2 linked regions of the Arabidopsis thaliana genome follow. The protein of the gene in region 1 interacts with the protein of each later gene in a biochemical or structural test. Each region holds a gene or a part of one and is shown in the gene's direction. Other genes may lie near its edges.

Evidence for each region.
Region 2: the proteins of WRKY39 (region 1) and CAM5 form a complex in vitro, tested with the Arabidopsis thaliana proteins (one study listed by BioGRID).

Annotation. Positions count from the first base shown.
Region 1 is NC_003074.8:1,265,510-1,269,976, reverse strand, and holds WRKY39 (WRKY DNA-binding protein 39), read left to right. Parts: upstream 1-1,598; 5' UTR 1,599-2,285; coding exon 2,286-3,004; intron 3,005-3,086; coding exon 3,087-3,212; coding exon of another isoform or gene 3,213-3,240; exon of another isoform or gene 3,241-3,299; coding exon 3,300-3,447; 3' UTR 3,448-3,921; downstream 3,922-4,467. Other genes in the region: AT3G04660 (F-box and associated interaction domains-containing protein), read right to left, coding at 4,011-4,467. UniProt on the Arabidopsis thaliana protein: Transcription factor. Interacts specifically with the W box (5'-(T)TGAC[CT]-3'), a frequently occurring elicitor-responsive cis-acting element.
Region 2 is NC_003071.7:11,530,378-11,534,872, forward strand, and holds CAM5 (calmodulin 5), read left to right. Parts: upstream 1-1,589; 5' UTR 1,590-1,691; coding exon 1,692-1,767; intron 1,768-2,309; coding exon 2,310-2,679; coding exon of another isoform or gene 2,680-2,683; exon of another isoform or gene 2,684-2,907; intron 2,908-3,699; coding exon 3,700-3,799; 3' UTR 3,800-3,981; downstream 3,982-4,495. Other genes in the region: PAG1 (20S proteasome alpha subunit G1), read right to left, coding at 207-246, 378-787. UniProt on the Arabidopsis thaliana protein: Calmodulin mediates the control of a large number of enzymes, ion channels and other proteins by Ca(2+). Among the enzymes to be stimulated by the calmodulin-Ca(2+) complex are a number of protein kinases and phosphatases.

The DNA of each region.
Region 1 (4,467 bases):
CAAATAGCCTTTTTCTTCTTTATCAAATGCACAAGTTTTTGAGTTTAAAAGATCATTATTGCGGAATAGATGGTTGGTTGTAATTTGATGTTATGAAGTGAGCAAAAAATAATGTTGATTTACTAGTGCGTTAGTTCTGTTTGTTTGGTTCAGCATATTCAAGTGATGTGTGTAGCATTTTTAAATTTGATAGGTCGAACATATCTTATGTTATTGGATGATTTCGAAATAGTATATGATAATGTTCAAAGTCACACATGTATTATTATTGGTTATTAATTCAACTAAATTACTATCACATTTTAAGTCACTTCAATTGTATTGTTGTATAAGCTCTGTATTTAGAATCGGATCCGAAGAATATTAGTTGGTCTGTCTAACCAAGTCGCATTAATCTTATATGATTCTCCTAGAATAGAAAAGAATATTTTATTCTTATGCTAATTCAATTGAAAGATAATTAAAACGGATATGTTTTGAGTTCAAAATGTTAAAATTGTCATTCATTTGCAATAGACAAAACATATTTAGAAAATTCTAAATTTACATGCTACAAGATCTTCTATATGCTTTAATAGCCTCATTTTTTTTTTTAACCCTGCACATTAAATACAGAAAATTTCAATCATTTGACTGATGATTAGAGATTTATAGATATAAGAAGAAAGTTTCACTTATCATTGTGAATATGATAAAACAAGAATAATAAAAATATCGTATAATTAACAACAAGAACAACAAACACAAAAAAAAAAACAGAAAGAAAGAAAACAAAAAAGAGCTAGTCAACAATCGTGATTCGTGATACAACGTGCTAGAGAGACGACCAGATGAGATAGGGCACGTGTCGAAATCTATACCGTTACTTTTCTAACTCCGTGCTCGGAATTCGAAATCAACGGGAGACACGTGGGTTCCACAATGGACGTTATTTCCATTTCATGACAATCGAGAAATAGTTAAATAAAAAATAAAAAATATTTTCTAAAATGAATACAAAATCAATTCGAATTTTGCTTTGGAATTAGAATCATTTTTAAAACATATGAATATAGTAGTACAAGAATTTTACTGAGTCAATGTCCAATTATCATTAAAGATATTTGACTCTAATCCATTCTCTTTCTCTAATTTTTCTTTAAAGATATTATAGTTAATCACATCATTTACTTTAAGAGAAAGATATCCGAAAATCAGAAAATGTTAAGATACATTATCTAATTTCCTTTAATTGATACGGTTTATGATTTTAATCAATTTTCTATTTGTACGAAAAACAGTAGGTATAAAGTAGGTCCACTAGTAGGACCCACCTAAGAAACTCTTTTTTAACAGAGGGCTCTGTTTTTTTTTTCTTCCTCTCCTCTGAAACTGCGACGACCACATCTCTGTTCTGTATTCCACTTATGTTTTTGTGTTTGGTTTTATTTTCCCCAGAAATTGAATAACTTTAGCTTTTAAGAATAAAAAGGAAAATTTAAAATTGAAATTTGGTCTCCTTGAGAAGTGAATAAATGAAGAAAAAAAGGAAATAAAAAGGGGTTTTTGGTAATATTTAAAAATTGTAGAAATGGTGGTGGTGGGGGAATTTTAAGTAAAAGCAAGTCTAAACTCTTCCCCACCCACAAAGCAAAAGTCATAACCTTTGACACTTTTTTATCTCACCATCTCTATCTCTCTCTCTCTCTCACAAAGAAACAAACAAGACAAATCTTTCTTTCTCTTTATTTTATCCTAAAATTTCCTATCTGATTTCTTCCTCTTGAGCTAAATTTGTTACCTTCTGGGTATTCAAAAAGATCTCATTTTTTCTTCTAGCTCTAAATTTTCAGGGAGTTTCTTTCTTCTTCTTTTGAAGACCCTTTGTCATGAGCTAATTTTTATCCTCTGTGTGTTGAGAAAGATCTCATTTTTTAGCTTTAGGATTGAGGGAGTTTCGATTTTTACTTAGCACTTTTCCTTGGAAGTGATTTGGTGGAACTCATGGTGATTGGTTTCTTCCTAGGGTTATTAGAGATTGAGTTCTGGATTTTTCACGCGCCTTGGATTTGATCTAATGTACTCTCTTTTTTCATGTCTTAATCTGGTTTAGATTTTTATTTTGAGATCTTTTGTTATATAGGTTGCAAGTTCTGTATTTTGTTAGGCTTTTTAGTTTCTGTGTTGATTATGATTCTCTTGGTCTAGGAGAGATTTGGGTGTTGTTAACTGTTTGAGTTTGAGAATTGTGAAATTAGGTTTTTTTTTTTTGGTTCTCTGATCTGAAACTTGGGTAGAAGAAAAACATGGAGGAAGTTGAAGCTGCTAACAGATCAGCTATAGAAAGCTGTCATGGAGTGTTAAATCTCTTGTCACAACGAACCAGTGATCCCAAATCCTTAACGGTTGAAACAGGAGAAGTAGTTTCCAAGTTCAAAAGAGTAGCTTCTCTGTTAACTAGAGGGTTAGGCCATGGAAAGTTTAGGAGTACCAACAAGTTTAGGTCATCTTTTCCTCAACACATCTTCTTAGAGAGTCCTATTTGCTGCGGTAATGATCTAAGTGGTGATTACACTCAAGTTCTTGCACCAGAGCCACTTCAGATGGTTCCAGCTTCTGCTGTTTATAATGAAATGGAGCCAAAACACCAATTGGGTCATCCTTCATTAATGCTTAGTCACAAAATGTGTGTTGACAAGTCGTTTCTGGAGTTAAAGCCACCTCCTTTTCGTGCTCCTTATCAGTTAATCCACAACCACCAGCAGATAGCTTACTCCAGGAGTAATAGCGGTGTAAACCTTAAGTTTGATGGATCTGGTAGTAGTTGCTATACTCCGAGTGTATCAAACGGATCAAGATCATTTGTGTCATCTCTTAGCATGGATGCTAGTGTAACAGACTACGATAGGAACTCGTTCCATTTGACCGGATTGTCCCGTGGGTCTGACCAACAGCATACCCGGAAGATGTGCTCTGGTAGTTTGAAATGCGGAAGTCGAAGCAAATGTCACTGTTCCAAGAAAAGGTTTGTCATTGTTCTTTGTGACAATCTTGACCCTTTAAATTGTTCTTTTTGTATCTCTTTGTAAAGGTTTGATCTTATACAGGAAACTGAGGGTAAAACGATCAATCAAGGTGCCTGCAATCAGTAACAAGATTGCAGACATTCCTCCAGATGAGTATTCTTGGAGGAAGTATGGACAGAAACCGATAAAGGGTTCACCGCATCCACGGTATATATATAAACATCTTCTGGTATAAGATTTCAATAACTTTATGTCGATTTTGATATAAGTTTCCTTTTGTTGTTTCGGTTGCAGGGGATACTATAAATGCAGCAGTGTGAGAGGTTGTCCAGCAAGGAAGCATGTGGAGCGATGTATTGATGAAACTTCAATGTTAATTGTAACTTACGAAGGCGAGCATAACCATTCAAGAATATTGTCTTCACAATCAGCTCACACTTGATGATACAGAGTCAATATGTATGTCCTTTTGGCGTCTACTCTTGGATTTGAAGAAAGAATGAATTTGATTCAAGAAACCGGTCTTTGTAGCTCTGATTTGCAATTGTATATTTCCACTCTGACAGAAGTTATAAGAGCACTTGTGAACTCGGATTATGTGGCAGAGGCAGTACCAAGAAACATCAACAATTTGGTTTCAACTGAGCTTTTTCTTCAATATATGTATCAATGCATGCAACGATATATAAGGTTGAGTCATAAAATGATGAAGAAGATCCGTCTAGGCAACACAAAACTCTTTTTCTTCTCTCCAAATATAAAACCGAAGCTTGTAAGATCCACGCAAAAGTTACTTTAATCAAGTCATAAGCATTGCATTTGCATAATCCGAAAGCATAGAAAACCATTGACCAAAAGACTAGACAAATGGTGAATCAAATGTCTCAATTCCAATATCAAAGAAGAGAGTCTTTAAAACTATATCTATCCGAGAACTGAAATGGAAATTGAACAAAGAAGAGAAGCTTGGGGAAAAACCAAACGAACTAGTCATCAACATATATATTAAGTTAGCTTCGACAGAACCATATGACTCTCTACGTGATCGAAAAAGACATTAATAGCAGCATAGTCTTCTCCAATTCCTTGAATCACAACTTTTCTAGCAGTTTTTTCCTTGGGATCGTAACAGAGAAAAAAGAAGGGCGGCTTGGGGGTTGGGAGCAGTGAAAGTATAATCTCACCAGTAGAAAGTATACCCCTGAAAATGACTCTTTGATCATTCCCAACTATATCTGTAATAGAAGGAACTATGGCAGCAACTTTTGACCACTCTTCTTTGCTGACATCTTCAAGAACCCACAGGTCCATTGGACCGCTGTATGCCTGACTCACTATAGCTATCTTTCCACTATGGTCCACCATATTACCAAACTGTTGTAATATATAATCCTCAGGTAGCTTAGTAACATTAAATTCTTCAGAGCTCAGATCAAAGCTCATCAGAGATCGTTTATCGTTG
Region 2 (4,495 bases), on another chromosome or scaffold:
CGAACAGGAAATGAAACTAAGGGACTGTAAAATGTGTCATCTTGGGTCAAAATTTACACGGTATATATTACATCAAATCTACAATTCTGATAACAAAAATGTGAATACTTCATTCCAAGGTTAAATCACAGCACGAGAGACTAAACCCACTGAAGAAAGTGACAAAGTAGTATAAAAATCAATAGAGGAAGGAGGAAGAATCAAACCATAACAATCCCATCTTTGCACTTGATTCCAACAACAGTCCTGCGAAGAAAAAAAAAGGGAAAGACTTTTAACAAACCCTAATTCGTGTCGATAACCAAAATCTCAAAGTTTTCAGAAGCTAAATCCGATCTACTAAAGGGCGAAGATCGAAGAAGATAAAGCCAACTAACCCACTGTTGTCGACAGCTTTAGCGGCGTACTCGATCTGGAAAACACGGCCATCGGGAGAGAAAGTGGTGACGGAGAGATCGTACCCAGTTCCAATGCTACTCATCTTCCTTGATTTTTTTTTTCTCTGACTCTTTTCTGATTTCTTCTTCGTCGAGTGATTTAAGCTGAGATCGAAGAAAGGGGTTTTCTTTGTTCTCAAGCCAGAGACAAGCCAAATCTTTGGAGCTCCGTCTGACTCCGGGTTGGATATTAAAACGATTCGGGTTGTTTTGTCGGGTGGGTCGATTCGGTTATTAACGGGCTTTATTAATATTATGATTTGGCCCATTCTTTGGTAATCTTTTAACGGTATCGTGAATATTTTTAAGTGATTTTCCTCTTTTGTATAATTTTGAATAATCAACCACATGAGGAAGAAAGAAATATTTCTCTTACTCAACAAAATATATGATCATACAACACTTCTTTATGAACTCACTAGAGGTAAGACTATAATATGCTCTAGCATTGGGACACACAAACTTTGGGATGCTCAACATTACATGTTTTTAAAACCAAGACAGTAAATTACCTATAATTGTGATGGATACAATAAGTTTGTTTTTTACTACATCTCTAGCCAAACTGAGAGACATAGTTGTGGCGATCAAAAAAGTATGACAGTTTTGCGAAAACTGGATCTTGTTTAATATCAAATCTTTAAGTGAAGGTCATGATGCTTAACTACCCATTAGGTGACCCTTCCAACAACAAAGTAGTGATTTTTGTCCTAACTCCTAGATGATTATTAATTACAAAAACAGTAAATAAAAAGTACTACTATTTCTAAATTTTCTTATAATGCTAAAACTTTTTCTTTGGTTAACTTAATTAAAAAGTAGTTTAAAATCCATGGTAAACACAAAGCTAAACCTTTTTTACCGTTTTATATCACTAGTAATCCCATTCTACCAACTCGTTGAATACTTAGTATTGGTACGCATGGTAAGATCAGTAACTTATATGAACTAAACCATTCAAAGCATGTAAATGGTTGTCGGCAAAACAACAATACTATTTCTTTTCACAAGGGAATATATACATCACCTCCCTCTTAAGTAAAGCTAGTCGAATTGAAAACACAATAAGGCCCAGTGGAGAACAAAACAAAAGAAGAATAAAAAAGAGAATCAGATTCGAAATTATTGTTATTGGGCCTAATGGGCCTTTTCTTTTTCCTTCTTTATAATTCCACACAACAATCCTCTCATTACACACACCAACGTTGATTCTTCTTCTTCTTCTTCTTCTCTCTTTCTCATCTAAACCAAAAAATGGCAGATCAGCTCACCGATGATCAGATCTCTGAGTTCAAGGAAGCTTTTAGCCTTTTCGACAAAGACGGAGATGGTTCTTCTCTCTCAGATCTTTCCTCTTTTGTATAATTTTCATTCATAATAGACTCACTTGCGTTTTTTTTGGTGTTTTGAGTATCACTTAGTCTTGGCTTTAGGAATTTGATGCTCTTCGTTGTCCATAAAATCTCTGGATATTCACATTAACATTAAACGCGAGATTTGATGATATCTTTATCGTTCGTTGATTATAAATTATAATCGCAATCGGATCTATCTCGATAATAATCTCTAACTTAATCGTGTTTTAGTCTTCCAGATTTTACTAATTGTGATTAGAATTGACACAAATCTTAGAATTCAATAATCGAAGTAGATTACATTGACATTTGTAGATTTTTTGTTTAATTGATTCAGTTATTTGAGTAGGTTACAATGAAATTTGAAGATTTTGTGTTCATTTGATACAGTTGTTAGAGTAACTAAAATGAAATTTGAAGATTTTGTGTGTTATTAGAGTAAATTACAATGAAAATTTGAAGATTTGGTGTTAAAATCTGTTACTGATTTGAGAGAAATGTGTGGTTTTGTGTTTAGGTTGCATCACAACGAAAGAGCTAGGAACAGTGATGAGATCATTAGGTCAAAATCCAACAGAAGCAGAGTTACAAGATATGATAAACGAAGTAGATGCTGATGGTAACGGAACCATAGACTTCCCTGAGTTTCTGAACCTAATGGCTAGGAAGATGAAGGACACTGACTCTGAAGAAGAGCTCAAAGAAGCTTTCAGGGTTTTCGATAAGGACCAGAACGGTTTCATCTCGGCAGCTGAGTTAAGACATGTAATGACAAATCTTGGTGAGAAGTTAACTGATGAAGAAGTTGATGAGATGATCAAAGAAGCTGATGTTGATGGAGATGGTCAGATCAATTATGAAGAGTTTGTCAAAGTTATGATGGCAAAGTGAGGAAACTATTCTCATATCTTTTCTCTCTTTTTCTTTCTTTCTTTTTTTGAATTGAACAACTCTGATTATTGCTTTATTCTATGTTTGACTGTTCATTATTATGCATTCGTCCCAAATTTCATGTTATGAACTATTTTGTGACTTTGGGTTAAATTATTTGTTTGGAAGTTTTTAGTTTATTTTATATTATGTGAAGTACCATTGTAATGGTCGTTGAAAAAGCTATCTCTTGGTATTAGTACTTTTTTATTTTATTGTATTTTATAGTTTGCAATGTTTGTTAAAAAAAAAAAGGGTTATTTGTGTGATTAAAATTTGTAGGAAAAATGTCTGAAAACATTATATCGGTAGTTTTAAAAGCTTAGAATTTTTTATTTATTTTTAAATTGTTGGTCAATTTGGAAATTCCCCTATTTTTTAGAGGAATGTTGGCAATAATCCATATAATTTGAGTCAAATTAAAATATGTTTTTCTTATTTTACGGTTCATATAAGAAAATAAGTAAACTGTTAGAAAAAAGTATTATCATTTGTAACGATTAAAACAAGAGATAAAATTTAGGAAATACGAAAAAGGGTTAAAGAAAAACATAACTTCCATTTCATTTTTTCTTTCAAAAGTTTTCAAGCTTCAGTTCTCTTTTTCCCCACTTCAACTTTCAGCTTTGTAAATAACATTCGTGTTTTTCTTGATTCAATATATTCTACATTTTAACAAAAACATATAAAAAGTGGTGTATGCATACAGTAGTTATTCGTGAGGTAGAACGTAATTGTTTAAATTAAAAGGCAGATATGTTTTGGGGAATAAAATCAAAAATGGATGGTAAGTAGCAAAAGCTAGATAGATGAAATGAGAATCTCCAAACCTTTAATTATGACTGAACTTTTTTGTTGGTAACCAGTATTTTTTATTTTTACTTTTTTTTGTTACAAGGCTTAGTTTCTTCTTTTTCTTTTAAATATTATCGAAAATCTTGATACCTAATTATTTTAAAATGTGTGTAATTTATTAGGAGAAGAGGGAAGAGAGTTATGGCAGCAAAGCGTAGTAGCAATTCTGCTGAATACAAAGAAAAGAATGGTCGCCGGAAAAGTCACTGCCGTATTCTCTGAGCTCCGACCATTTGCTTCTTAATTCCTTTTCTTTATATGTTTGTGTGCAATAAGAGATTTGTACCTCTCACACCCATTAAACGGATTTTAAATGTCATATCTTGTTTGAATATGTTAAATATTTACTATACTGTTATATAAAAAGTTTTAAAGTACTATCAATATAGTAAGTTCATTTAGGCATTTCCTATCTACCACAATGTTTAATTTTCGTCTACAACATACGCACACTTATCAAACTTGAATCCAAGTATATAGCGACAACACTAAATCCGAGTTATGATACGACGGTGGCACTAGTACAGAAACACTATCACAATGTTTTTAAGATATTAGCAAGAGAAAACTCAGAAAAGATACACGACCAATATTAGGAGACTTTAACTAATACTCTGGCGATCTAACTGTTATAATTTATCAGTTGATTTAGGCGTTAGGCATTTGCTATCTATCAACAATGTGGGCGGGCATATGGTCTAATTCTTGTGAGATGATAATACAATTAAAACAAAGAAAATACTTTTTTAGGAACTAAACCTAAACTTAAAAGTCTTTCTAATCAGTTGCTATTTAAGTATTTTCATAATAAATCAAGAAATGCAAATTGTACATGAATTCGAAAAGCCTCTCGTTAAGAAAACTTATGATTAAGAATATAATATCCAAATACTAGTTTATAACACCAAATGCATTGAA